Oreochromis niloticus: one gene and its partner. The protein of the gene in region 1 purifies or fractionates together with the protein of each later gene. This does not show direct contact. Links are inferred from orthologs where the notes say so. Each region holds a gene or a part of one and is shown on either strand. Other genes may lie near its edges.

Region 1 (15,863 bases):
CCAAATCCACCACAGTCTGTGGTGCAACGTGGTGGATGGAGCGAGACATGATGTCCCAGAGTGCTAAACCACTACAGATGCAATATATTTTGTCCACTGAATCATACGTTAATTATGTTTGCTTTTTTGCCGCTTTCATTGATGGCAGAGAATTCTACGTTGAAAACAGTGAAACAGCGACACTATCCCATAGTGGACATTATTGTGGCCAGGATCGGTACTGCAACATAAAGGCTGTCAGGCACCTTCCTCGTTAGTATAGTGGTGAGTATCCCCGCCTGTCACGCGGGAGACCGGGGTTCGATTCCCCGACGGGGAGGCAACAGCTTTTCCTTTTTTTTTTCGATCATGTAAACAATACACAGGTACATTTAGCAAAGAAAAGAAGAGAGAAAAAAAATACTACACAAAATCTGTTCGCTTAAAATAGCGAATAATGAAGTGATGTCCCGTTTAATATCTGTTTTGCCTTGTTTAGGATTGCAATGCTTCTTGATACTTTGGAAAGAATATATCTTAGGTGAGCTCTCCAGTTAAGTTTTTCATCTATTATTACCCCTAGAAATGTATTTTCACTGACTCTTTCAATATCAACACCATTTATTTATTTAACCTACTATTTACAAATAACACAATTTTAGTTTTATTCAAATTTAATGATTTTGTTTTTAATCAAGCCAGAACTTCTCTTTTCTTACTTCATTAATCATATCATCCAATAAATGCTGCAGATCATCAACAGAGCAGAAGATGTTTGTATCGTCAGCAAAGAATACCATTTTTAATACTTTGGACACTTTACAAATGTCATTAATGTATAAGCTGTAGAATTTTGGGCCCAAAACTGACCGTTGTGGTACACCACAAGCAATGTCCATACATAAGGAGCAACCACCACTTAATTTCACAAACTGCTTCCTGTCACTTAAATAACTCAGGACCCAATTTAAAATTACCCCTTTTGACACCATAATGTTCCAGTTTTCTTATTAATGTATCGTGATCTATAGTGTCAAATGCCTTTGTCAAGTCTATGAATAACCCAGCCACATATTGCTTATTGTTTATGGAATTTGTGATGTATTCTATTGAATCTAATAGTGTCAGTGATGTTGATCTGCTTGATCTGAAGCCGTACTGACTCTCTTTTAGTAGTTTATGTTTATCTATAAATGTTTCCAGTCGGTTGTTAAACAGTTCTTCAAGAATTTTTGAGAATTGAGGTAGTAAAGAGACAGGCCTCTAATTTGTGAAATGGTGTTTGTTGCCAGATTTGTATAGAGGTATAACTTGTGCTATTTTCACTTTTGCTATTGTGAGAAACATAGAATGTGGATTTCTGTTTATCAATGTATCCAGTTTTTCCTGTGCTTTCCCAGGATCAGTGATTGTTCTTGTTCCAGCAGTTACAAAGAATTTATTGAGACTGTTTGCCACATCATCCATATTGTATTCTTCATGGTCATTATCAATGAAATACTTGGGATAGTTCTTTTGTCCAGCCCCATGTTTTATAACACTATTCAGTATTTCCCATAATCTTTTAATATTATTTCTATTTATATCTAATTGCTTCTCATAGTATTCCTTTTTACTATATCTAAGTATATTAATTATTTTTATATCTTTTGTGTCTGATTTCAGCATCTTCAGTTCTCTTTCTTAAGAAATCTCTGTATAGAGCATTTTTCTTTACATGCATTTTGCAGACCTTTTGTTATCCATGTTCAGTCCATATATTTATGTTTCCTACTATATTGCTTTATTGAACAGTTGGTATTGTACAATAATGTAAATATTCTAAGGAATTCTTCATACGTGTCTTATTTATCAGGAGTCCACTTACAGTCTTATTTTCAATGTCATTTGTAAAAATGTTGTCTATGAGAGTTCCACAATGTGATGTGATCCTGGTAGGTCTAGTAATTTTAGGGAATAGGTTCATACAGTACATTGTGTTAATAAATTCCTCAGTGGTTTTATGTTTATTTGGATTTAGCAAATCAATATTGAGATCTCCACAAATGAAAAGTTTTTTGTGAGCTATTTCAGTAAATGTTTCTTCTATCCAGTCTTTAAATGTCTCAATACTACTACCTGGAGCTTTAAGTGCTGTCATTGCTGTCAGCTGTTTTCCATTCACTTTCTATGGGAGTGCTAAACCACTACAGATGTAATATATTTTTATCCACTTTAGTCTTCTGGCACTGTTGAGAGTTTACCAATTATATGTAGTGTTGGGGAGTAACAGAATACATGTACTGGCGTTACGTATTTAAAATACAAAATATGAGTAACTGTATTCTGTTACAGTTACCGTTTACAGTTACTTTGTTGAAATAAATTGATTACACGGCAGTCTTTTCCTGTTTCATATGTTAGGCTATGCCCTTCCTATTTTTGGTAATTCCACCCCGGTGGAAACCCAAACAAAACACGCATTAAGAGGCTCTAATGCCTGGGTCTCAATCTCACGGCCCATGTCACCTCTACTTGCAGCCTGCATAATGACATGAATAAATATATTTTTAAAAATTATAATTCAAAAAATTATTCAATATGAAGGCAATAGGCAGAGTGTTACAGGCATAGCCCTAAAGAATGTAGCCTCATGGGCAGTGTAGTCTGTGCTGCAGGGAGAATGGACTGCCATACCTGTTATATGTCTGTGAGTCTGTTTTTTTGCTTTTTTCGTTGACGGTAGAGAACTCTACGTTGAGGTATCTAGTCATTCTAGTCTCTCTGCCCGCTGTTTAGACGTTTGATACACATAAATAAGTCTGTACAACCTAACGTATCAAAACGGTGAAACAGCGACACTATCCCATAGTGGACATTATTGTGGCCAGGATCGGTACTGCAACATAAAGGTCGTCAGGCACCTTCCTCGTTAGTATAGTGGTGAGTATCCCCGCCTGTCACGCGGGAGACCGGGGTTCGATTCCCCGACGGGGAGGCATTACGTTTTCGTTCTTGGAAATGTTAAAAGTTAGACTGCACATGATGGGAAAGCCCCATATACACTGCTCAAAAAAATAACACAAAAATAAGACCAAATCTTCATCTGCCACTCATCTTGTTGTTCCTTCTGCTCGCTTTGTCACTATGGGGCACAGAGCTTTCAGTCGCTCTGTTCCTTGGCTCTGGAACTCACTTCCTTCAGCCTTAACAAATATAGATTCCCTTTCCTTATTTAAGTCACAACTCAAAACCTACTTGTTTAAACTGGCTTACTCATTTTAATACAGATTTTACTTGTTGTCAAATCGTGTTTTTTTTGTCTTGTTTTTTGTTTTTTTAAATTTGTTGTTTGTGGTTGTATTTTCCTGTTTTTTGTATTTTAATTTATTAGAATGTATTTTAATCTACTGTTTTATTGATGTATTTTTCTCTTTGTAAAGTGACCTTGGGTTTTAGAATGGCGCCCTCAAATAAAATAATAAATATCATTATTATTATTATTAAAAGACATCCTAGATCTGAATGAATGATATATTGTTATTAAATACTGTGTTCTCTATATCTTTATATAGTTGAATGTGCTGACAACAAAATCACACAAAAAATAGCAATGGAAATCAATTTCAATTTCAACAACACTATCCCATAATGGACATTATTGTGGCCAGGATCGGTACTGCAACATAAAAGCTGTTGGGCACCTTCCTCGTTAGTATAGTGGTGAGTATCCCCGCCTGTCACGCGGGAGACCGGGGTTCGATTCCCCGACGGGGAGGCATTACGTTTTCAGTATGAATAGTCCTAAAACAGGGGTGTCCAAAATTTTTTCACTGAGGGCCACATACATAAAAATATAGGAGGGGCTGGGCCACTTACTAGAAATTAGGTATATAACCTTAACTGTAGTGTATTAAAGTTAGAAAAATCATTTAAAAGTGGTCAAATGTGTTATATTGTTGAATATAATTAAAGACAAAACAGCTTTGGTAGCTCATTCTCAGAACAGCAGCAGATTTCTTCTTGGACAGAAGATTTACAGCACAGAGAAAAAACAATGAAGGGGAAAATGGGACGGGTAAATTTCAAGCTTGTTATTTAAGTTCTTAGACTTAGCAACACACCTATTAACGTTCATTTGAAACGGTAATCAACATTAAAAGACTGAACTGGACTTAATAACATGAGTCCATATAATTTTAGTGAATTATTCTGGTGAGTATCAGCTGCGCTGGGTATGTAAATCGAGCCATCCAGCCGCGGTGCTCATCGTACGCCACTCGTGCCAAAAATCCGGACAAATGTCACTTGATCAAGGAGCAGATCTGCATCAGATGAGATCAGCTGACTTTGCGTGTGCGTGCGCTGTGCACAGCGGTGTGTACTCTGTGTGTTAACAACAGTGATGGGAATAACAGCGTTACAAGTAACAGCGTTACTAACGGCGTTACTTTTTTCAGTAACGAGCAGAGATGGGCAGTAACGCGTTACTGTAATCTGATTACTTTTTTCAAGTAACGAGTAATGTAAGGGATTACTATTGCAAAAACGGTAATTAGATTACCGTTACTTTCACGTAGGAACGCTGCGTTACTGCGTTACTAAAACCGTGATTTTTTGCAAGAACGTCTCATGACAGTGACGTAAGCGAGTGCGACGTTCGTGACAACAGCTGTCTGCAGATCATAATATATCGAGTGCGGGACAGAGTGTAGCATGCAGCGTTTAAGGCGTGGAAGTACTGACCTTATTTTGAGTTTGATTCCATAAAAAGTGACAAAAACATTAGTGTCCGTTGTGCGTGGGAAGAAAACTTCTTTTTACAGCGAAACACACCCCTAAACTTCCAAGCAAGCACCGAGTGTACTACGACGTAATGTGAAATTCACAGAGAAACTCGCGGATTCTTCCACTGACCGCTGCAGCACACCTGCACCAGGGTAAACCTCCGCCTACCCCAGTCCTGCTTTACAGGTGAAAATAGAGCAACAGGACCGCTAGTCTTTGATTTTATTTATTTTCTGCTGTGTTTTACTTGCATCTATTTGAAAGAGTGAGTGTAAACACAAAAAAATATTTTATTTTATGTGCTGGAATGTGCAGAAAATAGGTTTAAATGTTAAACAAATTTCTTCCAGTCAGAGAATGTTGCATATAATTTAATTTTTGCTTGATGCATAAAGTTAAAAGATTAAAACTAATAAAACAAGTTTTAAAAAGAGACTTTTCCATTTGATTACATTTTGTATGATGGATTATGCAGAAAAAGTAGAATTGGGCTGAAAGATCTATCGCTTTATCACCTATTCAGGTTGTAAATCGTGTTTTTAAAAAGTAACTAACTAAGTAACTAAGTAATTAATTACTTTTGAAAATAAGTAATCAGTAAATTAACGGGATTACTTTTTGGGGGAAGTAATCAGTAATTAGTAACTGATTACTTTTTTCAAGTAACTTGACCAACACTGGTAATGAGTAATCTAACTAATTACTATTCCTATCGTTACAACGGCGTTACAGTTACTAACAAGGAAACGCGGTCCGTTACTATTTTTCAACAAACAGACGGTTGAAGCTGTGTTCAGCTTACCGCATCTTATATCAGTTGCACGGAAGTAGCTGTAAGTAATCTGGACGCTACAGCTTTAAGCAGCTGCGCGCTCCCGCAGACGCTAATCACGATCACTGTCTAGCACAACACCTGGAGCTAAGGAGGCAAAACAATCGCATGAGTGCTGCTGTTTGACTGAGGAAGAATAAAGTAGTCATAAGTCAATCACATGACCACTTAAAGACAAAGCAACAAGGTGACAGTTTTTAAATTGTGTCGATAGGCCACGTAAAACCAGAGTCATGATAAACAATATATACGCGGCGTTTTTCCCTCAATAGTTTCGCCACGTTAGCGCTAGCAAGCACTCTCTGCTTATGAGCAAAAAAACAAAACAAAAAAAAGTTTTAGGAGTGACGGTGAGAGAAAGAGAGAGGGAGAGAGGGAGAGAGCAGGAAAAGAGAGAGAGCGAGTTTTGAGATGTGAGATTTGTGACGTTTAGCGTGTTTGGAGTGTGTAGTTAATGTGTTGTCTTGTGTAGTTAGTGTGTAGTGTTGTGGATAGTTTTGTGTTGTGTGTCAGAACAATGAGGCGACTGCTGTCTCCAGGTAGAAACAGGAGTGATACACCTGCTGCTGTCAGACCTGCAGGTATCAGGCTGTGATGTTCTCCTTTATAGTGGACAGAAATGATTTTTTTGGAGTGGCACAAATAATTTGTGTGGCATCTTATTGAAGAACAGCTGATTGTTCTTTAAATAGTTTGAAATGGTTATTTAAAAAAGGGGTAAAAAGTAAATGGATGCAAATAACTTTGTTGTTTGCAAAACTTGTGCATAGGATTTTAAAATTGACAATTAATATTTGCATTTGAAGTTATGAAATATGATTCATTAAACATGTTTATGGTTGTTACAGTAAAAATAACTTTTTCTACTGTGATTTTATGTTTTTTGTCTGATTTTAGATCAATTCTGGTTATACAGTATGACAAAATGAGAACATAACTGTAAATTCAGGCACGTGAGGTTGCGCTAAAAAGAATGATACCAAACAAGGCAAAGTAAATAGTTGTTAAAGGTAAAATGTGGAGAGAAAATCAAGAGTAGTAAAAAAAATGGCCAATTATACCCTGGACGCCAGGGGGTTAAACGTTCTTTGTTTTTGTTTTTTTAAGTAACGCAATAGTTACTTTTCCAAGTAATTAATTACTTTTAGAATATTGTAACTCAGTTACTAACTCAGTTACTTTTTTGAAGAAGTAACTAGTAACTATAATTGAATTACTATTTCAAAGTAACTTGCCCAACACTGGTTAACAAGAAAAACGCATATAAGAAAGTGGTGCGCAAAAGCAGGATAGTGACAGAATTGATGCGCATTATTGATATTTGAAGCATGTGTACCTGCACATGCATGCTTATTAACACACGGGTACTGTGGAATATATTTTTTACTCACCTAAAGTGCTCGTGCTCTCGTCCACTCCCCGCAAAAAAAAAATTAGCAGCTGTGCGGTGTCTGTGGCATCAGTGCTCGGATCGCATGCGATGGAGTAAAAATCAAAAGCACAGCTTTATCAGACAGTTGCAGTTTAATGTTGGCTGACAGTCTTCAGTGCGTGGCACAACTGTAGTTCTGGACATGCTGACATTGTTGAAGTCCTGCACTTTTTTCGGGCACATTATTTCGGTGACTTTAACGAGGCAGCGTTTTATGAGGTCTCCATCTGAAAAAGGCTTGCCATGTCTTGCGATGAGTTGGGCGACCTCATAGCTGCTATTGGAGCCTTTTCCTGGACAATTTGAGCACGAAAAAAATACTGTTGCTGACCCCGCATGATAGCTAGCATTTGCTTTAATTTCTGCTCTCGCTCAGCACCAGTGTAGGATGCATAGGCCTGATGTTTGGTTTCATAATGACGTCGTACATTATACTCTTTCATAACTGCCACAGTTTCAGTGCAGATCAAACAGACACACGTCCCCTTTAATTCTTTGAAGAAATATTCACTCCCCCCGTGTCTGAAATTTTCTGCATTCACTTTCTACCTTCTGCTTCTTTGGTTCTGCCATGTTTGGTAACTTGGGGTAAATTTCTTCTGTGATTGTCCTTTTTGGTAGAGCAACTGCCTTGATTAACAGTAGCTCCCCCTGGTGTTAAAACTAAGAAGTGCAATACACTCAAGCAAAAGTTGAAGTGCGGGCTATTTTCTATTCTATTTATAAAATTACTTGAGGGCCAATTAAAAATGGACCGCGGGCCAACGCCGGACTTTGGACACCCCTGTCCTAAACCGTTTATTCTGCACTGACCCCTTTCCAGGGCTGACTCTAGGATTTGGTGGTCCTAAACAAGATTTTACATGTAGCCCCAAAACTCTTTACGCACAGCACTTTGAGTGCACAGGTAGAATAGAAAAGTGCTATATAAGAACTAGTCCATTTACCATTTAGATCCACCAAATCATGCACACTGCAAAGACCCCAGTACATACCTCTGCAGATTCAGTTATGTCGGAGAAAGCTGTAGAAGCCTGTGGTGCCTCAGTAAAGTCCTCAGCTATGTTCGGGGAGGGAGTAGATGACTCTGAAGTTTTGGATGATGTCAGCAGTCATGTCAGCTGTGGTAGATGTGCTTGTTGCATCAGAAACTCCAAAATACTCCAGTAATGACCCTGAGAATTTTATACATTAGATTATTATTTTTATACACAGGGTGGATGAAATTAAATAGGCATATTACATGAATTAGGGCTATACTTTATACTTTCGTCATGTTTAACGATTAACTGATACTGTGAATGTAAGCGACAGCGATTTACAGCCCGAAAAGTTACATAAATATAAAATAATTCAGAATCATGTGATCTTTGCTTAAAGTGGTGATTATTAAGTGATTATTAAAGGCGACATGCTGCGTTTTTCCTCGAGTTTGATTGAGGAGAAATCATCCTTTCAGGACGGCCAGGTGAACCACGCCCTGACAGCGGCGATGAGGATGGTGATGAAGGAATATCTGATTCTGGTCACACAGCTGGAACACCGCCAGCAACAGAAGCTCTGGTTCTACATTCAGCCCACGATGCCCATGGTGGAGGAAGTCTCTTTGGTCGTGGATCTCCACTTCTGTGTGAAAGACGTACACACGATACCATGATATCTTAGTGAACTAGAGACCCTAATATTTGATGTACTTCCATTAGTTAAAGAATTAAACTGTTAGTGCGTTTATTAAAATAAATTATGTTTTCTGCTGTTTTCACATCATCATAAACAGTAGGTTGATTTATATTAATTTTTCACTAACAGATACTTAAACTAAGGCTAGTTCCTCTTATTTTATTTTAATTAGGTTTTTTTAGTTCACAAATTCTTTTCAATTAGTTTTAATTCTTTATCAGAAGTTTATCTTTATTTGTATTTTAGTTAACTAAAATTGTTTGGGTTCTTTTTTTTTACATCTAATTTTAGTTTTTTGTTTAGTTTTAGTTAACTATAATAACCTTGGTCAGCATCATAGTAGCTGCAGTTAATCTACAAACTTATACATAAGCAGACATCTACCCGGGTTCAAGTACAGTAACAAAAGCAGTATTGTGATTTTAGAGAAAATGCCTGTTTTATGATTGATAGATTTTTGCGAAATTGATTTTTAAAAGTAGTTATTATATTCCTTTTTGTATTACAATTCGACTTTCAGCCCCAGCATTAAGATATTATTACCTATTAACCTAATCTTATTTGAAATATTATTTTTGTGAGATTTTGAAACTTCTGCATTATCAATGTTGATTTTTTTCTCCTTGACAAACATGAATAAATTGCACAATACATTTCATAAGCAATACTTTGCACAAAAGAGCCAAAATGTTACAACTTTTAACTAATATATGTGAAATTATATTTAATTTATTTTTTTATTTGTCAGAATATTCAATATACACTCCGGTTTAAATAAATAAATAAATACATAATTTTCTGGCTATTTTTGTATGGTCAGGCGTCACAAGGTCACTGACCTGTAGGGGTCAGTGTGGCGCCGTCACTTCGCTGCTGGAGAAGAAGAAGAATTTGATAGTAGTGGGCGCGTTTGCTATCTGCCCCGGTAAACGCTGCAGAAAGGCGAGTGCCAGGTAGAGTGATGACTTCAGACTCTAGTTAAACCTGTAACAGGGCTTCATGTTACTGAGTTACGTTGTTATTTGCTTTTATGGCATTTCATGTTTCACTTGGCTCAGAGAGCTACTAGATAGCATCCCCCTGCTGTAGCAGGCTAACTAGCCAGCTAGCGTAAACAACTGTTAGCTCTGCATCACCACTGAAAGACAGGATGTCATAAACATACAGCCGTTAAACCCTCAACTAAGCTTCATCTGATGTTTGTCAGTGTGAGCCGGCAGCTCTGATGTTCATATCCATTGTGACCGCCTGAGCGAAATTCTTTCTCTTTATTTCTGCCCTCTCCTACAAAGTAAAACCTCTTTGTCGTTATGGCAGCTGCGGGAGCCATGAGCGAGTTCAGGATCCACCACGACGTGAACGAACTGCTCAGCCTACTTCATGTGCGAGGCGGCGACGGAGCAGAGGGCTACATAGACCTGCTCCAGAAACACAGGACCCCCTATGTCACCACCACAGTGTCCGCGCACAGTGCCAAGGTGGGCTATACTGTACTACACTGTGCTTCACTGCAGTGCTTTTCATGGCTCATCAGTTGATAATTTAGTTTTTAATTAGCATCTGTCCTCTTATCAGACACGCAGTCACACTACAGCAGACAAAGGCTCTCTCAGAAGGAGTGTTTTTCTGCACTTGGCACCATAGTAATGTTTGTTAACTCCTCCCAGAGACATTAATCTCGCAGTTAACTTTAGCAAAATCCCAAATGCATCATTATGACCGGCTGTCCTTCCAGATTGCACATGTACTAATGAGTACAGGGAGTTTGGTGAGGAGGCAGAAGGAGTACTTTAAGATTCTTATGAATGAAGAAAATGAGGAGAGAGGATGATGGGATAGATGGGGGACAGGTAGGAAATCAGGAAGTGCAGAGGATTAGTAAGGAGTAAGTGAAGGCGACAATGGATGGATCAAGAGTGAAAAGGCTCTTGGTTCAGATGACATACCTGACATACCAATGACAGAGTATTGAAGTTAATCTTGTAGAGTGAAAGGATGCCTGGGGAATGGAACGTATGGCTTCACACCAAGAAAGAGCAGTACAGATGGGATGCTTGTTTTGAGAATGTTGATGGAGAAGTGTAGAGAAGTTCAGAAAGAACTGAACTGTGTGTTTTTGTAGATCTAGAGAAAGTATATGATAAGGTACTAAGACAGGATTTGTGGTAATGCATGAGGAAGTCAGGATTAGTTGAGAAGTCTGTCAGGGATGTAATCCCACCCCCACCTTGAGCCCCTTTTCTTGTTTGCAGTGGCGATCACTTCCCTAACGCTAAAGTTTTATAACTTACTCTTAGTTAAACACCCAATGTTCGCAACAGATATGTTTCTTTGAATATTTTATTCATATTGCATGTTGTGTCACTTTCAGGTCAAGTTAGCAGAGTTTTCTAAAACCCCGGAGGATTTCTTGAGGAAATATGAGGAGCTTAAGTCCAAAAATGTTCGGAACCTCGACCCTTTGGTGTATCTGCTCTCCAAACTCTGTGAGGACAAAGAGGTAATGCCTCATTTACATGCTGCTTTTCATCTGGTTCTTTTTGTCATAGAGTCCAAATATTTCTATACTTCCTGGTCTAAAATCACAATTATTTCCTTATTATTAATGTTGAAAAGTAGTTTAAAAAATGTAATCTACTCCAGACACTGTACACAGCAAAAGTAAGAAATTTGCTGATTTATGTCCCTCCATCAGAGAGTTGGTTGATAAAATACTTGAATCTAATTTTGCATCCCTGTCTTGATATTGTTTTGCAGACCCTCCAGTTTCTGCAGCAGAATGCTAAAGAGAGGTCGGAGTCTTCAGCAAACACCACCTCAACCACGACAACCAGTTACTCTCTGCCTCAAACCAGCACCAAGATGTCCATGCAGGAGCTGGACGAGCTGCGTAAGAAGCTTGGCAATGTAACAGCGAGCTCCAACGCTCCTCTGGTGAGCATCTCTTACTCAGATGTTACTGATCTGAAGGTTAGATTAGCCTGTGAAACTCTACAGGACAGGTTGGAGCTAAAATAAGTTCAGCTAGAAACTTAATTAAGATAGGATGTATTTATTGGTCGATTTTATATATGGAAACAGATTCAGATAGTTTTTGTTCTTTTGGCTCTGTGTGATGTCAAAGAGAGCGCAAAGTTCCAACCACCTGCTGGTCAAATAATTTTTGAGGGGCAGTCACTCAGAGGAAAGTGGGTTTGAAGATGGGGGAGCTAAAACAGTTTGGTTCAAACAGTTAATGAGCTGGGAAGCTGCACAAAGGCCCAGTATAAGATAAAGAAGGCTTATTTTGGACTGTGAGTCATACAAGGCTGCTCTCTGGAGTACTACAATTAAGATGAGTTGGAGGTTCACAGAGATGGTCCTTTTTAAGTTTCAGAATATTTGTTCATAGAGCTATTCAGGTTTCTTTTTCTTAAAGTAGATCAGATCAGAGATGATGAATCTCAGGCTAATAAAGGGGATAAAAAGGATTAAAAAAGCTCTCATTCACATTAGATTCTCATTGTATTTCACATAGGAGTGATTAGACATGCAGATGATTTGTTTTTGGCCACTTGGGCTCAGCAGAAAGATCCTAACATCCTTTTTTCTGAATAAAAAGCTGCCTTGATCAATAGTTTAATCTAAAGGTTAGAAGGGTCAGTCTATTTCTATTGATAAATATTAAATTAAATTTCACTCGGTTTACCATCTGCTGCTTTTAAATCCTGAGTTTCTTTGTTTTTGGAATTCGCCTGCAGCCGGCTGAAGTCACACGGAAGATGCTGAGGGACAAACACAACAAGAAGAACCCCACCCAGCCCAACCCCGTCTTCCCCAATTGGGTGTATGATCGTCCAGCTCTCATCGGAGACTTCATCACCAGCCCCACCCCTCAAGGAGAACCAGCTGTGCCCGTTGGTAAGTTGGTAAATTTACACATTCACAAGTGCAGCATGGAGTCTAAATATAGTCCCCCTGTGCGTATTGATGTGGTTGCTGTCCGTGGTCAGGTACGCTGCCTCTGGGGACGCAGGAACAAGCTCTGGTGGAGGATCTGCTGTTTGTGCTGATTGGAGTCGACGGGCGAGACATCACCGCTCAGCCGGTGCTGGGGCGGCAGAACCGCTCCTTCATCGTTGATCCAACACTGGACATGTCTGTCAAAGAGCTTGTCAACAGAATATTACCGGTCGCTTCATACTACTCCACTATAACACGGTAAGAGCGTAGACTGTGCCCGGTATGAGCTACTGCTAACAAGCTTAAGTTCACAAATGCACATAATCACTAATGAGTTTTCCAGATGAACTACTAGGACCCTCAAGGTTGATGCAATGCAAAAGAAAAACCCAACAGCATCTCTTGTAACTAAAATGTTTACTTCACATCAGCTTTGAGTTTTTAGAATAACCTTGAATCGAAGCTTCAGTTCAGTGACTGCAGTTAACAAAGGTTAGTGACTCAGCTGTCACTCAAAAAAGCCACACACCTGACTTTAAGCTTTATTAAACTATAAATGGATGTACAAAGAAAAGAGAAGAAAATCATACTGTAGAGGTTTTAGGTTATTACATGAGGAAATTTGCTTTAGAGATCAGTTTTTGTAGCTGTAAAGTTGGAAATTTTAAAAGTCTTTTTTCAGCCCTCCAGGTTTCTGCATGGGTAAAAGAGGCAAATATCAGAGTACCTCCAGTCCTGAATATCTGTTCACAAAACAGTTTTTAAATTTTTTAAATTAAATTTTCTAACTTTAATTTCCAAATGTCTTAAAATGTGCTGCATGTGTTTTTTTGCATTATCTTTGAAAGGTTTATTTATATATATTATTTAGACATCTGATTCTATGTATGATATGTGCGCCTTAAATACAAAGTATATATTTTAACTGGTCTCTTGAGTCCTTTTATCTATTTTCTGTTGCTCTTTTGCATTAATGTCATGTTTAATGATTGATATCAATGGGAGTCACAGTGATTTAGAGCTTGAAAAAAGTGACATAAATATCAAATAATTCAGAATCATATGATCTTTGCTTAAAGGGTCTAAAAGAGATTATGTGTTATAAGATTATTAAAGGTGATGTGTTGCATTTGCCCTCCAGGTTCATTGAGGAGAAATCATCCTTCGAGTACGGCCAGGTAAACCACGCCCTGACGGCGGCGATGAGGACGCTGATGAAGGAATATCTGATTCTGGTCACTCAGCTGGAGCATCTCCAGCGGCAGGGCCTGCTGTCCCTGCAGAAGCTCTGGTTCTACATCCAGCCCACCATGCGCACCATGGAGATACTGTCATCAATCGGTAAGAAACTGAAGATGATGCATGGTTGTTGTTTGCAGCCATGATGAATTAAAAGTTGGCAAAGAAACATTGAAAGAAGGATGAGTTAGGGGCGCCGTGATCAGTAAAAGATTTGCTGGTGTTCTGGCACCATCCTGGTGCAAAAGGAGAACAAGTTGCAAACCAGAGGGTGGAGAAAGTCTCTTGAGAATAGAGTGCTACTTCTCCTTTGCCAGGGTGGACTTGATTTAGTGCAATGTATAACTTAAAGTTGGATGTTTATAGATTTGGGGATCTCTGCTTCTGCATACCAGCAGTTTATTGAATTACAAGCCCTAAAATTTCATCTGCTTCTAAACGGTCTTCAGATGTTGTTTAAAATAAGCATAAAAATGTTTAAACATATGTTTCACAAAGCAGATATTAAGAAAAGATGTTGATCTGTTGTAGAGATATAGAGCTGAATTTGCAGATTAGTGGTGAGGAGGAGTTCTGAATGTTTTCAATTTGTAAAAGTTAGTTTGTGGGTCACAGGTCGTAGAAGACCTGCAGTCTAAGCTTCTTTAAATGAGCACCAGAGAGTTCATTTGACTGGAAGGCGATCTGACCCACTTTATAAGAGAATGCAGCACATCAAACCGGGTCTAGATTCACCAACGCACCAACACAAACAACACTGAACACTTTGAAAATGCCTGATTAGTGTGGAATCTCACCTATTATAAAACAGATATTTAGTTAAATTATGCTTTCTGTTGTGTTCACAGCGTCCTCCGTGGACAAAGGAGAGTGTATGGGAGGGTCAACGTTGAGCCTTCTCCATGACAGAACCTTCAATTACACCGGTGACAGCCAGGCTCAGGAGCTGTGTCTGTACCTCACCAAAGCAGCCAGCGTCCCGTACTTTGAGATCCTGGAGAAGTGGATCTACAGGGGCATCATCAAGGATCCGTACAGGTTCAGCTGCTCCCAGAGTTTTAACTCTGAATAATGTGTGTTGTAAAATTTTAAGCTCATATTTTGTGTCTCCACAGTGAGTTCATGGTGGAGGAGCACGAGCTGCAGAAGGAGAAGATTCAGGAAGACTACAATGACAAGTACTGGGATCAGAGATACACCATTGTGCAGCATCGGATTCCCTCCTTTCTACAGAAGATGGCAGACAAAATACTAAGCACAGGTAAAAACAGAACATTTAAGACTTGTTGAACATAAAATGGGAATCCTTTAGGCGATGTTGAGATGTGCTATCGTGCAGGGAAATATCTCAATGTGGTGCGGGAGTGTGGCCGGGACGTGACGTGTCCTGATGCTAAGGAGGTGCTGTACACCCTGAAGGAGAGGGCCTACGTGGAGCAGATAGAGAAAGCTTACAATTACGCCAGCAAAGTGCTTCTGGACTTCCTCATGGAAGAGAAGGAGCTGGTCTCACGTCTGAGGTGAGTATTTAATGGTTATTGGATATTTTGTGGTGAGAGGATGAGATGATGTGTGACCAGTTTGTTCTGTTATATTTGACACACACAGAACTAAATTATTGTCAAGATTAAAACTGTGAATTTTGAAGTCAGTGTCTAGTGTTAGGGCTGGGCTATTTCTGTAGCTTCCAGTGGTTATGAAAACAAGATAACCTGGATGAGACGGTTACTTTTTGCATCCATTTTTGTTTCAACTTGTTTTGTCTTGTTATAATAACTCAAATATACCTTTTGGCTTCGCTGTGGTGCATTTTCAGCCCAGATTTACTCACAGTTTAGTTCAGCTTAAGCTAAGATGACTTAAACTGATACTTTGGTCAAAAAAGATCCCTCTAGAAAACATTAGTCTTAAAAAGAGGTTCTCCTGGGTCTCTATTGTTCTTTGTGTGGTTACTGTAAAGGTTTCTATAGATGCACAAGTTTTATTGACTTA
Region 2 (15,158 bases), on another chromosome or scaffold:
GGGGCTACTCATTTGTAGACATCTACAGCACTGCATGAACACCTAAGCTCTCACACATAAGGGGACAGACAAGCTACTGATAAAAGCCTGTGTGAATAAGAGGTCTCCTCTAGCCTATATATGGCCTGTGGAGGAATGTTCCCTGCTCTCAGCATTTTCTCTTGTCTCGAAGATGAATAGATCTATTTTAAAGACAGGACAAAAACAAAACAATGCTGTGTGCTTGTACGTGATTTAGGAGCTCTATTCCTTGTTGATCAAAGATGTGTTTTCTTTTTTGGGGGGGAAGGAGCAAGTTTGCAGTATTCTCCAATGATTTTTGAGAATAGAGCACAGACGTAAAGGAGGAAAGATTTCAGAGCAACAGTGCATCCTGCTGTAAAGAATGACCCTTGTTCAAGTCTTCGTTTTTGAAGTGCGTCCTGCATGGTCTGTTTTTGTATTACACTGTGCAATGTTCCACCAGTATCTTTTCCTTTTCACCCAGTCTGACAGGAAAAATAATTTCCTTTGTAAAATCCTGCACAAAGATAACCTCCCAATAAAAGGTGAAGGGGTGTAACTATGAATTCACCAGGGTGGATTTGGAAAACTGGCTCAACATAAGACAAAAATAAAGAAATAAAATATGAAAAATTGATTTTAAAAAGTACCTGATTAAATCACAGAAATGGTGATTCAGTAGGAAAAACTTGGTGGAATAAATTACAACTGTGCAAGCTTCCCAACAGCGATAAAGACTTCTGACTGTAATAAGAAAGACAACACCACCTGGTGGCCGCTCACTGTAACACTTTAATTTACACTTCATCTGCCACATGTAAAACAAAAATGGCAAAAGTTGAGAAAAAACAGAAATGCAAAACTAAAACAATTCACCATATATTACAGATATTAAAAAACAAAAACAAATTAATGATCAGAAATCGAGTCTGTACTCAAATTAAGGCAGAAAGTCAATTATAGCCTGAAGTAACAGGAAAAACATGGAGTATGTCTATATTTGAGACAGAATGGTACGAACTCATTTCAGGAGAAGACTACATTAAAAACACAAAAGAGAAGCACATTAGTCACCAATTAGACACACAGTGCCAAAACGGAGACAAATCTGATTGGCTGGCGATCCCATGTATGTACACTTGCAGGTAGGAGGCACGATCCCATTAAAAGGTCCAAAAACTTAAGTGATCTGTTTTTATCTTCAGTTTGTACAGTTCTCGGAAGCCTGAAAGAGAAAATAAATAAAAAGCTAGTTAGTCATCATCATGACTCATTTTTTTACCAGTAAAAAGCATATGATATCTTTGCCAAACAAAAAATGAATGGTTGGGAAAAGACGAGGAAAACACAAAGGCTACCTCAAAATTAATATCACACATGACCTTTAATGTGGTTTTTCAGTCTCTGCGATGAGAACCAAAGAGTTTTTGTTTTTTGTTTTTTTTAATTTAGCACAAACAGAAAACTGTAAGCGAAATCAACAAAATTAACAGACCAACCAGAACTAAACCTCTCAGTCTGTACTGTCTGTCGTTCTGACATACACTCACACCTTGCTAGAACCGGGATGGACCACCTTTTGCCTTCAGCACTGCAATAACTTCATGGCACAGATAGAGATTTCAGTCCATACTAACACCACAGCATCACACAGTTGCTGTGGATTTGTCAGCTGCACACCCATGATGCTCTACTGGATTGGGATCTGGTAAATCTGGGCGCCATCTGAATACAGTGAAACAACCAGTTTTGGATTATTTGAGCTGTTAAATGAAGATAATACACTTTGGTCATTAAGGGATGGATAAGCTCATCAACAATACTGTCCAGTTTCCACTAAGGTGCCCAAAGAGTGCCAAGAAAACATCCAACCCGATTACACCACCACCAGTGTCCTGAATTCTTGATAAAAGGCAGGGCCTTTGCAAACCATAGCCTCAGTTTCCTATTCTTAGCTGACAATAATGCCACCCAGTGTGGTCTTCTGCTGCTGTGGGCAATCTGCTTCAATGTTCAGCACATTGTATGTTCAAAGATGCTCTTCTACATACATTTGTTGCAACAAGTGGTTCTTTTTAGTTGCTGTTGCCTTCCTATCAGCTCAAAGCAGTCTGGAGATTCATGGCAGGAAAATCCCAGTAGATCAGCAGTTTCTAAAACACTCAGACCAGCCTGTCTGGCACCAACAACTATCCTGTCCTCAAAGCCAACTAAATCACCTTTCTGATAATTGGTTTCAGGTTCAGCAGGTTGTTTTGACTATCTCTATATGTCTGCCTAAATACATCAAGATGCTCACATGTGATGGGTTAAGATGTTTGCTGTATTGAGGACTTGAGCAGTTGTACCTAATAAAGTGGCCAGTAAGTGTACAGTAGGTCGCTTTTAGATCAATGTTCCTCCCAGCTTCATACTCACAGTAGTCTCATGACACTGAAGGACACGTGTAGAATATTTATCATCAATACCAAAGATTTGTTTGCTTGTGGGCTTGAGCACTGACCACATTTGCTCTTCATCCTTTTTTTTTTTTTTGTTCTCCAAGCAAGATCTGTGTGTGTGTGTGTGTGTGTGTGTGTGTGTGTGTGTGTGTGTGTGTGTGTGTGTGTGTGTGTGTGTGTGTGTGTGTGTGTGTGAGAGAGAGAGAGAGAGAGAGAGAGAGAGAGAGAGAGAGAGAGAGAGAGAGAGAGAGAGATTTTGAGTACTGGATGGTAATTCTAAGAAAGCTGTATGTATCCTTTCATACACAGCTTGAGAGATAAAGAGATCTCTCTTTGGAATTGGGGAATAGAGAAAATGCAACATACACAAGAAACGCCGAAAATTAGAAATGAGTGAAAGGGACAAAATGCTTTTTGCATGTGCTATGACTGTTTATGGCATTTTCTATTTGTTAAGGCAACTGCATGCAGTAAGACTTCTGTTGAAAGATTTGAATAAAAAAATGTTACAAAGGCTCACTTATAGTAATTACTTTTTTTGCAAGTTGACTGTGGTGGTCTTTTAGACAGGAAGCCAACAGATTATAGATGCAGCAGAGCATATCTGAAAGGGGCCAATAGCAGCAGGTTAGGAGAGAACTTTATATATATAAAAACCCCTTCTGTGAATCTGGTACTTCATATCCTGATATGCATTAAATGACCACAGTTTATTTTCTGGACGACATGTTAAGCCTCTTTCAATGAGTAAAATAATCTTGGTTGGAAATCTGTGTTCAAGATTTGGTTATACTGATTCTTATATCTGTGCAAATCTAATAATATGCCCATAATGCTTTAAAATCAGGTGTTTTGCTTACTTTGTGTCGGCATATCTCAGTAAAACTGGTATGCAAAAAGAGGTTCTGTCACCCTACACCCGGCTGCATCTTTATAAACATTCTTAAATTTCAGATGTTATCTATACTTCACACACACACAGCCTGTCACACTGCCATTGCTGGTGTTCGCTTTTGTATTGACATCAATTAAACATCTGAATAAGTCCGGAAAGACTCGGTTGGGTGGTGTGATGATAACTAGAACAGGTATTACATATTTGAGGGATTACACAGAACACTTTTCTTAAATGTAATGGATTATGTTGCTTAATTACTCCCAGGAGAAAGTTTTCTCCATAAAATTACCTGAAACTCATTGTCTCATAATTATAGAATTTTATATCATATTATATAACAGTATAAACCTATAGGCTACAGTCCCACACACAAACACAAATCCCTATCCTAATGAGGACACACATATGATCTTTACTCTAGTATTTTTCTTTAGTATTTATGTATGAACACAAAGTATGCTGGGGTGGGGTCAGCATTCACTCAGCTTTAACATCACTCTGGGTTCTTGGCTAGATTAGCGTTAGCATGTCGTCTGTGCAGGTGCTTGTAAAGATCCGTAGTTAGGTTAGCAGCAAAATTCAGTTGTTTTTGTCCTGGGCAGTTTGCAATTTACCATCGTACTGGCTTTTAAAACTAAAGTATTGTTTATATCCATGCTGTAGACTGTGTCACTATTTTCCTCCTCCAGTGCCATGAGAACTGATAAGCGAATCTGATAGGCAGGCAGGCTAACAATTCCAAAGAATTTAACTACTTGGACCGATTCCACAGACAAGTGACCGCCACTGTGGGACATACCACTTGTTTATTCACTGAAGTAGGGTTAGATGTGCATTTAACAGTTTCATGCATATCCCATCTTAAAGATATTAAAAAAAAAATGTGAAAATTGTTCAAGTTACACAAAAAAAACTTAAATGTAAAGTATTTTTCTAAACACATAGTTTCAAGCATATTTAACATATTTCAAACAAATGGTCTGGCAGAAATCACCTCTTCCTCAATGTGAAAAAGAGATGATGTTTGACTTTTAGAGGAAATTTTTAAAAAAATGTGCCGAAGCCCATTAATGTCATAGGTAAGGATGGTAAAACAGTGGACAGGTACTTGAGTGTTCACTTGAATGAAAGACTGGTCTGGAGGATAAATAGTGATGCTATGTACAAGAAGGGTAAGAGCAGACCGGACTTTCTAATTAAGCTCAGATTCAGTTAGCAGTGGGAGGCAGCATCAGTGCCAGAGATGCCAGCAGGATCAACAAACTAATCCACAAGTTTGGAACCATCATTGGCTGGAATCTGGAGTCACTTAAGTCAGTGAGGGACAGGAGGTCACTGAATAAACTGCTTACCATTATGGACAACCCATCTAACTCACTCCATTCCAAACTACAGAGGGCTGACTTTGCTGCCATAAAGGAAAGCATTCCTACTGTTCTCTATAAAACTCTACAAGTCTCCTTTATATAACTGGTGAAAAAAGGTGAAACAAGATTAGATGGCAGAGATATTTCTGTATCAAACCTTCTTCCTGTGATTTCTCAGATTTATAGTGTACATGTTCTTTTTAATGCCAGTTGCATTCATAAAGAATGCAAAACTAACACAGACAGACCTGTGTTTAAATTGGAACCAAAATTAACCTAACCCCATGCATGTCTTTGGACTGTGGGGGGGACGGTGAGTACCTGGAGACTATGCAAAACGTCATACAGAAAGGATCCAGACTGGATCCAGACCTTTCCTAATAAGAAATCAAGTATAAGCCTGTGGTACCTTTAATAATGCTGTAGATTATATCATTTTTATCCTTCTGCCGCTTTAACAATAATTTCCTTGTTGGCTCAGTAAAGTATCTACATGTATGTACAATGTGAGCTGATTAGCTTTTAGGGAGGCTGTGTCTGTACCTTAAGGGACTCGGAAGCTTTCCGCAGTTCTTTGATGACTGCAGAAAGAGCTTCTGGGTTGATGCCCTGCTCACACAGTCTCACGCATATGGATAGAGACTCCATATCCAAGCCAGTGTTGAGCAACCTGGAGATCTCCAGCAACACTGTTGGGGGAGGAGGTAAAAACAGACACAGCTATGACACACATGCTAAAACGTACTATATATATTTTAAGATGAATTTACAACTATTATACAAATACACAAAATACTACACGCAGTAATTACATATTTACCGTCCATCGTCTCCCGTACTGCGTTTAGGTTTGCGTTTGCTGCACTGGCCATAGTGATGGATGACTATAGCTAGCCAACGCTTGCTAGCAAGTGGCTGACAAATTAAGACTTAGAGACACAACGCAAAAAATCAGCCAGATTTCAGGCGTTTCTTATACATTTAGATTGAATCAGCAAAAACCAGGCTAGCACAATCACGTAAAGGTCAATATAAGATCCTAGCTAGCTGACAGCGCTCATTGCCGCTACTCGCGAAAGTGTGCTGAAGGAAGTGACGACACGAAATTCTTCATTGGTTACGCGAACTTCCTGCGACGATTCTATTGGCTAGCCTACCTTGTGGGCGAAATTAAAAAACGTTTGAACTGGTCTCTCTGCTGATTGTTTGCTGCTGGCTTTCCAATGAATATTGCTGTTAGAGTTCCGGCTCATTCACAATTGTAAGTACCAACAGTTGTAAGACAAACGTTATCTAGTTCTTGCGTAAATGTATAAATAAGTTAGGGGTGAAGTGAAATGTGTGAAGCTAAATCCTCATTTTAAAAGCTGCTTCCTTCGAAGGTTTTTTTTTAACGCTATAGAAACAGAGGGAGTAATGTAGCCAACGTACCAGAGTAGAACAAAATAATACAAAAAATCGCCTTATCACGAAATAATTTTAGTGTCTTTTTGTGATTGGATTGTCATTTATCGTCATCCCGACTTTGATATTTCTTGTCAGCTAAAATGGGGGACCATGCTGAGATCCAGATCACTCCAGAGACTCCAGGCAGGCCCTCCATTAGAAACCCCTTTGAAAGTCCAAACGACTATCACCATCTTCGCGAACCGCTGGTGCCAAGTCCATCTGTATTCAAGTCCCTACCTTGTAAAGCTGTAAGTTTTAAATTTACTTCATATCATCTACTCAACTCGTTTACTCATGATTTGATGTAGTCTCTTAATAATTCTAGACTTGTTTAATTTACCCAGACTCCACCTAAGTTTAACTGGTCTATTGATGAAATGGCCAGTCTCCTACCAGTGCACATAGACCCAGAGGAAATTCAGCGACAATCTTTTTACCTCAGTCAGACAAGGTAAGTGATGTAATAAGGCTGACACTGTGACAAATGTGAAATTCTTTGAGGAAGAAATGTATTGTTTTATTTTGTGATTTTAATACCTCCTCTATGTATTAAACCTGGGGAGCTTATTAAAGACTCTATCAAACGTGAGTGGTCTTTCTTTTAGGACGGATTCGGACATTGAGGAAAAACGTCAGAATGCTATTGAGCAGGTAACCAAATCTCATCCTTTACTAATGATACAGAATTTAGTGTACCCAAAATTTATAGATTCCCTTTGTACTGATGTCATTATCCTGTCTCCAATAAAGTTTTTCACCAAAGGAATAATTGTCCCTTCCCCCTGGGCGGCACCAGAGACCCGTAAAGTCCCTCAGATTTCTAAGAGTAGTAAGTTATCTTATCTTTTATGTTACTTCTTAATTCTTATAGGTTTTGTATTTGTATTTATTTTGTTTTTATCCATAGATTTCTGTTGAACTCTGGTTTTGTAAATGCTTTTATTTTTAATGTTGTAGGTTCAATGTCTGCAATGATTGCAGAGGAGCCAGAAAAAATTTCAGGTTGGTTACTTTTTTTTTTTTTTTTTTTTACCTGTTTTGACTTTTTTTCCCCCTTTTACCTACTTTTTATATATATATATAACTTTGTGTGTTTTGATCTACAGTTGGATGTCAGACAACCCTTACATTGCCTTTGGCTTTTGATTTGGAGAAAGTTCTAGGTAAACCTTGACTAAACACCAACAGGATCATAGTGAGAAAAAGAAAATCGAACAATCTGCTGTCAAGTCACTGTTTCTGTTTTTTTTTTTTTTCTCACAGGGGAATATTACCGTTATGAAGAAGTGTGTGATCCAGTGCAGGAGAGTCTTAGCAGCTCCTCCTTGCGACGAAAACTATTCCTTGATGGCCAAAATAGTTATAGTGGCTCAGACAGCTCGAGCCCTCCAAGTCCAGAGAGAGGCAATGCCGGTCAGGAAAAGCCATCTCTCAAGAGAGGAGACTGCGTTGAAGGTTCTGAGGGAGAAGCTGTATCGGCTATCTTTTCCTCCCCTTCGGCCTGTGGTGTGTCAGCTCCGACGCCTTCTACGGTAAGTAGAGGAGTGTAGGGATTTCATATACACAACCGTTACCCAAACAATTTAATTTTAAGCATAAAATTCAAAAGAAAAAAATGCATCTGGAGATCATATTTTGCTCAACGAATATTTTAATAACAGGAAAATGAACATTTACACTGTTAAGCCTTCACCCAGGCTTACACTAAATAGTTGCTGTTGATTTGTTTTTGTGTTTTTGCTGCCTTAAAGGATTGTAAACCTACACAGGTTTTTATCTTCTTTGTTAAGCAGTTTACACGTAATGAAATGTGCTACATAAATAAAATTGCTATTGCTATTTTAGGGTCAGTTCTCTTCGAGTCCCATCCAGCACGGACGCTTCCGGGATTGTAGCCTTGGCAGCATCGACAGTCCTCTCTTCCGTGATAGGTCCTCTCCTGCTGGCCTCATCTCCCCCACAATTTCTCCTATTGTTGCACATGCAGCACGCACACCTGTTGGCTCAGGTACACAGTTGTAACTAAAACACTAGTTACACTTTGTAACTAAAATTTTAATATCCAAACAAATCAAAATTGGAGAAATATTGGCTAAGGCTACATCCACACTGACATGGTTTTGTATTTAATAAATAAATATATAATTTTTTTTTTTTTTTTTTTATCATGACAACAGTTTTCATCCAGCTAGTAGTTTTAAATCTTCCTCTATAATACATGATCCTTTGAGTATGGTGGTGATGCCTCCATGTATTTAGTTGGTGATATTATGATAAAATGCAGAATAAGTTGCATTGGAGCAAGAAGAACACCTATATAATTTGGTCTTTACATTGAATTAAGGACTGGTAATTGAGGCAGATGTGTCTTCGTTATCTTCTGAATGGGGATGTGCTTCAGGAATGTTATGATCCAACAAAGAATATGTGACTGAGAAGACAAAATGTTGGTAAAAAGGCAAGTAATTGTTACTGTGTTCTTTCTTTAGCTGAGAGGAACCAGCCGAGCTGTTTGACCCCACGTGGTGCCCCCCTGGACATGGTCGCTTCCTGCAGTGAGAGTCCATTTGTTGAGGGTTGCTCTCCCATTCGTAGCTGCTCCCCACACCAGCTCCATTGCCACAATGAACCCCAGCGCATTTCTCGACCCAGGCCCAGACCTAGAGGCCGCTGCTGGGCTTCCCCTCCCCTCATCTCACCGATCCTCAACCCTAAGCTCCCAGACAATGAGGTGGCTGAAGAACACCTCCCCTCTGCCACTCGCTCTTCTTTCCCCTCTATGGAATTAGATTCGTCATCATCACCCCTGACACAAGACTCTCACCCCACCAACACTGAGAGAGTTAGCATGGACCCAATGGAACCTGTGAAAATGGAGGAAGGCAAAGAGACAGAAATTGAACCGAGGCTCGAGTATGAGGAGGATGAAGGTGTGGGGCCTTCCGAGCAGCTGACCAGCTCTCGCATGGTTAATGCATCAGCAATAGAAAACTCTCACATGTTTGTGTCTCTCCTGGCAGAAGGAAGCAGCATACGCTACGATTCTAGCATGCAGGTTTGTAAAAACAGCTTAACCCCGGGAAGGATAATTTCATATTGATGTTTTGGGTAACAGAATATTTCTGATTGACTGGCTTTTTGCACGTGTTCAGGTGGACAGCGGTTATAACACTACCTCAGCAGTCAGTCTTATTGATGGCACCAACAAAGACTTTGACAGCAAAGAGTTCTTCAGTTCAAACATGGCAGAAGATGCCTTCCAAGTCACTCGACACACTAAAGTAAAGGTACTGACTTTACACACAATCACAAGAATGTGGATACATGAGTTTGTGCCTTTAGATCTAATTGTTCCTAAAACTGTTATTATCAGCATTAAGTTTTGTTTTAAAAAAAAAAAAAAAAAAAAAAAAAAAAAAAAAAATTACTTCTTTCATTCATTTAGTAAAATTTAAGCAACTCTTCACTGAGAAAAACCTAAGATTAGACACTTTAAACAACGACCATGTTAGTGTAACAGAAAACCCTGAAGTGTGCTCTAGTGTGTACATTGTATATCCTTACTTTCTTCTTCTTTTGATTAAAACTAAGTTTCTTCTCTTTCAGGTGTTTTTTCCTCACCACTGAGCCAAGTGATAGATGGATTGAAAGGGATTCTTCTTCTAGTGAAAGCATGTGCTTAATATTTTGCAATCAAATACAACAAGGTTTACACTATGTCTAAAGCATTTATGGTAAATATGTTCAGTTAGACTGAATTGTGTTAACTGTTAAATGAGGTATGAATACAACCATGGGGTTTCACAAGTTACCTGACTGGAAGCAGAGTTTCTTTAATCACAGGTTATCAAAGGGAAGTCTAATCCACAGACAGTTGTACTTTTGAAACCAGCATCAAACTATCAAGTCTGCATTCAACTTGCACAACAATAACCTTCCTGAAAGCTGTATTGATCCTAGCACAATTTCTGTTGTTTTTTGGGAGTTTTGTTTTCTTTTAATTTGGTGTTGGATATATCTTGACTTTCAGGCAACATCAGATCTGAGCTGTATTTATGATTTTTATAAAACTTTTTTTTATCATGTTTTGATACGGAGTTGTTTTATATCACAGTCTGATGCGCTGAATAATGCCACTAATGAATTAAAAGCTGACTGAGCCATTTCTTCGCTCTGTTTCTAATAGTTAAATTCAGTTTCTGGATTATTGTCACATTAAGTTACGTTCAGGTTTGTTTTTTTTGACTGGCTTCAGGATACGTTGTTTTATGGACCTCTGCACAGGGTGTTTATTTGCTAATAATTTAAATCAACCCAAGGAATAAAAGTAAAACAAAGCTGTAAACTTCTAATATTTAAATAAATAAACAAATAAATGGTGAAATCTTCCAATATTTTGGCTTATGACTCAATTCAAATCATGTTTGAAAATAATTCTGAGAAGTTTTGTACATCAGAAACAATTTTAAAAAAATCATTTTAATGACTGCGCTGCCTTTAGTATGTAAGACAGCTTACTCTTCCAACAAATGTTTTAAATCATATAAAAGAGCAAAATTTTACTCATTAAAAAAGTTTTTTTTTTTTTTTTTTTTTTTTTTTAGCAAAACAAAACAACTGAACTTTATCAATACATCAAATAGTCCAAACGGGAACATCATGTGGTTTAGGTGAAAACTGAGAGCTCCTTCCTGTGTCAGCGGTCCAGTTTTTGTTTCTTGGCTGGTGTTTCGGTATCTGGGGCTGGGACACTCACACCAGGGATCTAAAATAAAACAAACTTTTATTTCTAGGCAAAAAATGAGCACATTTTCTTATCAGGGTTGACTGAAATCTGTATCTTAATAGTCTTCAATCAAATCTGAATACTTTTAACTGTTAAAAGTTCAGTTTTGGTCTTTCTTACCACTGGTTCAATCAGAGCCATGCGGATCTTCTGGTGCTGAATATTGGAGTCATCTAGGCTAATGGTGACCTTCACCTTGTCGAATATGTGGAACTTGTGCTGTTCTACAGACAGAGTGGGACCCTACACACGTGCAAAAAAAACATGTTAAACCCTACTGACTTTCTATACAAAGCTGATTGCTTTTAAATTTACCAAAAAAAGGTGTTCATACCTCTTCCTCAAACACTATGTTTGGGGAAACCTTGTCTTTTGAGTCAAAGAACACCGTTCCCTCCAAGCCAAACTTTGGGATGAGCACGATGATTGCATTCTTCCTCACAAACAGAATGAATCCTTCTTCATTAAGGATTCCTCGGCTCTTGAAGAACAACTGCAGAAAAAAAAAGGGTTTTAATATAAGACAAAGACAACCAGTTCACACAGTTCACATGTTGATGTGTGTTTACCTGTGTGTGGAAGGCCACAGAAGCCCGCTGTGCATACTGAGACATTTTGTGTCTGTAGTTGAGGTTATTGCAGAGAGCTGACTGTTTATGCTTGTCCATTAAATCTGGGTAGGTGGTGTCTGCACCTATAGCCACTGCCAGCAGGCGGTGCACAATGATATCAGCGTACCTGAGCACAAAGTACAAAAAGAATTCAACTGGATGACAAAAGAGTATAGAAACAACTGATCCATAATCAATTCTGAACATCTCTTTGTTAGAAAAGCCTGACGTACACATATTTTGCCAAGATGTGTAGAACATCTGTTTTCATACCTCCTGATAGGGGACGTGAAGTGCGTATAAATGGGCGAGGCGAGACCATAATGATGGAAATCGCTGTCCATGCCAGAACAAAAATAGACAGCTTGCATCATGCAGCGAGTGGCCAGGATGCGCAGCAGCGTGTTAAAGTATGGGAATCCATCCACTTTGGCTGCATCAAGCGAGTCAGCCAGTGCCTTTGCTGAATCTGTGTGGACCTCGACCTCCTGATGGGAGTTGGAAACAAAAATGTTGACACCTTAAAATATTTTTCTATTAAAAACTTAACCATATTTACCAGTTTTTGTACTTAATGTACTGCTGTGATTCCCAACTAGAAGCAGGGACTTATGCAGTTGCTTTCCAGTATGAGAGAAACCTACAAAACTATTTAAAATTAAAAATGCTCTTAGTCAGGATCTTGAATTAAAGCTGCTTTACTGACACAATGTCCTTCTTTCATAGCAAGAATTCACATGACTGTTTGCCTTTACTCACCTTAGACTTTGCAGCTTTGATTAGGATGTCATAGTTAGACGGAGGTGGTGCTGGGTGTTTCCTCAGCAGAGCGCACTCTGGGAATTCATCGTAAATCTTCTGAGCAACTGAAATATTGGCCAGCAACATGAACTCTTCAACCATTGAGTTTGTCTCCCTAATGAACAGGAGATGGTTTTATTTACACTCATCAAAAACACAGCATGACTCATACACTGAAAAATATGAAGACAAAAAGAAGCTTCTGCAGAGAAATGGATTCTGCAGAGTGCTCCTTTTCAAAGTTACCTACATGAGTTCTTTGGTCTGAAGATCAATGGGGTCATGGGTTTCACTGTCCATGTGAAAACGGACCTCTAAAGAGGACAGTGTCAGTGCCCTAAATGATATCAAAATTAGATTCATGTGAATTACAGCAAGTCTAAATATCCAGCTTTTTGCCTCTGTTTTTTTACTATTCTTTCACTTTGGTCTTTACCCTTTCTCTATCCTCTGCCTCTTCAGGATTTTGGCCAGTTTGTTCAGACCCCGTAGGCTTTTTGTTATATCATCATTCTTGTTGGTGTCATCAATCCTCATCTGGGCCTCAGCATAGGTCAAAGACGCCTGGACCAAAACAAAGAAAATCATCAATAATAGTAATAATAAACCTTATACAGAAAAAAAATTATTGCATAAAATCTAACACAAAATGCTAACATTAAAAAAAAAGGTATAAATTTAAAAAACAAAATGCTAACTGTGCATGTGTGTTGGCACGATACCTTGGAGTTAATAACACTTTTTGTGAATCGAGTCTTTAGAATTTCAGCCTTGTGGTTTATTTCCCAGATACACGAAAAGGCGAGTCTGGTGAAAGCAAATAAAAGAACCAAACAATCTAAGTACATTCGTTTTATTCATTTAACGGGAAAAGGCTGCGTGTGTTTGTGTCATTACCTGTCCACATTGGACCGCAGAGAACAAAGATTGGAGCTGAGCAGTTCAGGAACCATGTCTATCCTCTGTGAGATACAAAATTAAACACACTGTTAAAAATCAAACATATTCAGATGATTTAAATGAAATACAAATAAGAAGAAATTTGCACATTTGTTTCTACTATTAGAGCCATTTCTAAGTGAAAGGCCCATAATAAGCTTGCATCACACAGTTTCCTGCAGTGTTGAGCAAAACACAACACAGTGCAGTGCAAGCATGAAGACCGGAGAGCAATCGCACAATCAAACTTTGAAAGCAGCACGGTATTATGTACATTCGGTGTGACACATATTTCTGTGACCAATAAAAATAGACCAAAAATGCAGAAGGACAGGGAGCAGGAGCTACATTCGACTTGGTAAAAAACACATCTGTGCACATGGAACGGAAGAATGGAGGTCTGCAGGGATTTGGGCCGGATTTCATGGATAAAAAAGGTGATGTATTATGGCATGTTCTGTGACAAGTTCCAATTGCACTACTAAAGGTTATAAAATACTGACAAAAGCCAGCCCAGTCCCTTTGAGATCAACACACTAATATTTGTTCTGACCTGAGAAAACTCTGCATCGCATTCGCTGACTTTTGTGACAAAAATTGTGATCGAAGAGGTTAAGGTGATACAGAGAAAGTATATTTCCCTTCCACTTCCTCCCAAAGAAATTTAATTTGGACAGGAACACCTGTGTATTCTGTGAAAATATTGTTAATATCAGCCTGGCTCACCTGCTTTTCTATTGTGTATCAGCAGAAGCCTTTTGGAACGACGTGTGGAGCTGAGTACAGACCAGGGGGGTTCAATTACCACATTTAATTATAACTGTAATTACATTTGGAAATTTGATATTTCAATTCTGAACATGTACACACCGATGGCTGAATCAATTTAAATTCTTAAGCCATTCACTGAAACCTCTAAATGTCAACAAAGCCATTGGCTGTGTCATTTGATGATTTTAAACTACTTTGAGTTGAGCCCACTTTTTTTTCTAAGATAAAATTCAAGACTTCGTTTTAAGTTTACTGCACTATGTGAGTGTTCTCGTTCTCTTTTTCTGTAAACACTTAACCTTTCGCACATAGGATAGTACATGTGAAGACGCCCCCGCAAAAAATTATGTAGTATAGACAGAGCTGTCATGCTGGCCAGTTCAACACAAATTTTGAGCCGTTTGCTTAAAATAGTTGTCAGCAGAGTGCTTCCTTTTTCTCTTATGTTAAAGGCACTTACACTGTGGTACTGTTGTTGATATCATGGTTTAAAATGCATTAATGAAGGATGCAAACATGCGAGGTGGATTTTCTTACTTTGCCACACAGGTACACTGTGGTGCCACGGTTGGCTGCCTCTTTGTCTAGAGCGTTGCCAGGTCTGATGAAGTGGCTGACATCAGCAATGTGGACGCCCACCTGTTGCAAACGAACATGGATAGTACATCAAAAGACTCGCATGTACAGTTTTACAGACACAAGTACTTTTACTAACAGTGTATTTGTACCTCGAGGTTTCCATTTTCCAGCTCTCTACAGTGCAGAGCATCATCTATATCTGTGCATCCTGGAGGGTCCACACTGCAGACTGTCAGAGGCCTCAGGTCCTCCCTTTTCATCATGTCCTGCACCACATACATTTACATTCATTTATACACATTTGTATATGTCCATGCTTTCAAATTATGGGCTGATGGACCGACTGATGACTTAAACAATAATATACCTGTGCCCTATTTATCTTAAGGAAAAAAATGTTACCTCCGGTGTGATGGCCCACGGCATCTTAGGGAGGAAACTGAGCACTGCCTGGGAGAAAGCCTGATGAGGGACATCATGCTCCAGTAGCAGCACCTCCTCTTCTGTCTCCTT

What was found.
Region 2: the proteins of tubgcp2 (region 1) and mzt1 purify together in Homo sapiens (affinity purification with mass spectrometry; 4 studies listed by BioGRID and IntAct, counting the BioPlex papers as one, with this or other methods). This does not show direct contact. The link is inferred for Oreochromis niloticus from reciprocal best matches to the Homo sapiens genes TUBGCP2 and MZT1.

The regions. Positions count from the first base shown.
Region 1 is NC_031973.2:4,929,302-4,945,164, reverse strand, and holds the start of tubgcp2 (gamma-tubulin complex component 2), read left to right. Parts: upstream 1-9,490; 5' UTR 9,491-9,643; intron 9,644-10,007; 5' UTR 10,008-10,018; coding exon 10,019-10,168; intron 10,169-11,061; coding exon 11,062-11,190; intron 11,191-11,447; coding exon 11,448-11,624; intron 11,625-12,430; coding exon 12,431-12,590; intron 12,591-12,682; coding exon 12,683-12,890; intron 12,891-13,773; coding exon 13,774-13,973; intron 13,974-14,719; coding exon 14,720-14,909; intron 14,910-14,986; coding exon 14,987-15,132; intron 15,133-15,210; coding exon 15,211-15,391; intron 15,392-15,863. UniProt on the Homo sapiens protein: Component of the gamma-tubulin ring complex (gTuRC) which mediates microtubule nucleation.
Region 2 is NC_031978.2:13,422,888-13,438,045, forward strand, and holds mzt1 (mitotic-spindle organizing protein 1), read right to left. Parts: upstream 5,806-15,158; 5' UTR 5,582-5,805; coding exon 5,530-5,581; intron 5,399-5,529; coding exon 5,253-5,398; intron 1,229-5,252; coding exon 1,205-1,228; 3' UTR 776-1,204; downstream 1-775. Other genes in the region: bora (protein aurora borealis), read left to right, coding at 6,257-6,406, 6,503-6,609, 6,764-6,809, 6,909-6,987, 7,116-7,160, 7,265-7,321, 7,422-7,690, 8,004-8,166 and 3 more; dis3 (exosome complex exonuclease RRP44), read right to left, coding at 10,855-10,923, 11,065-11,187, 11,279-11,437, 11,514-11,682, 11,829-12,043, 12,315-12,471, 12,607-12,693, 12,793-12,920 and 5 more. UniProt on the Homo sapiens protein: Required for the recruitment and the assembly of the gamma-tubulin ring complex (gTuRC) at the centrosome.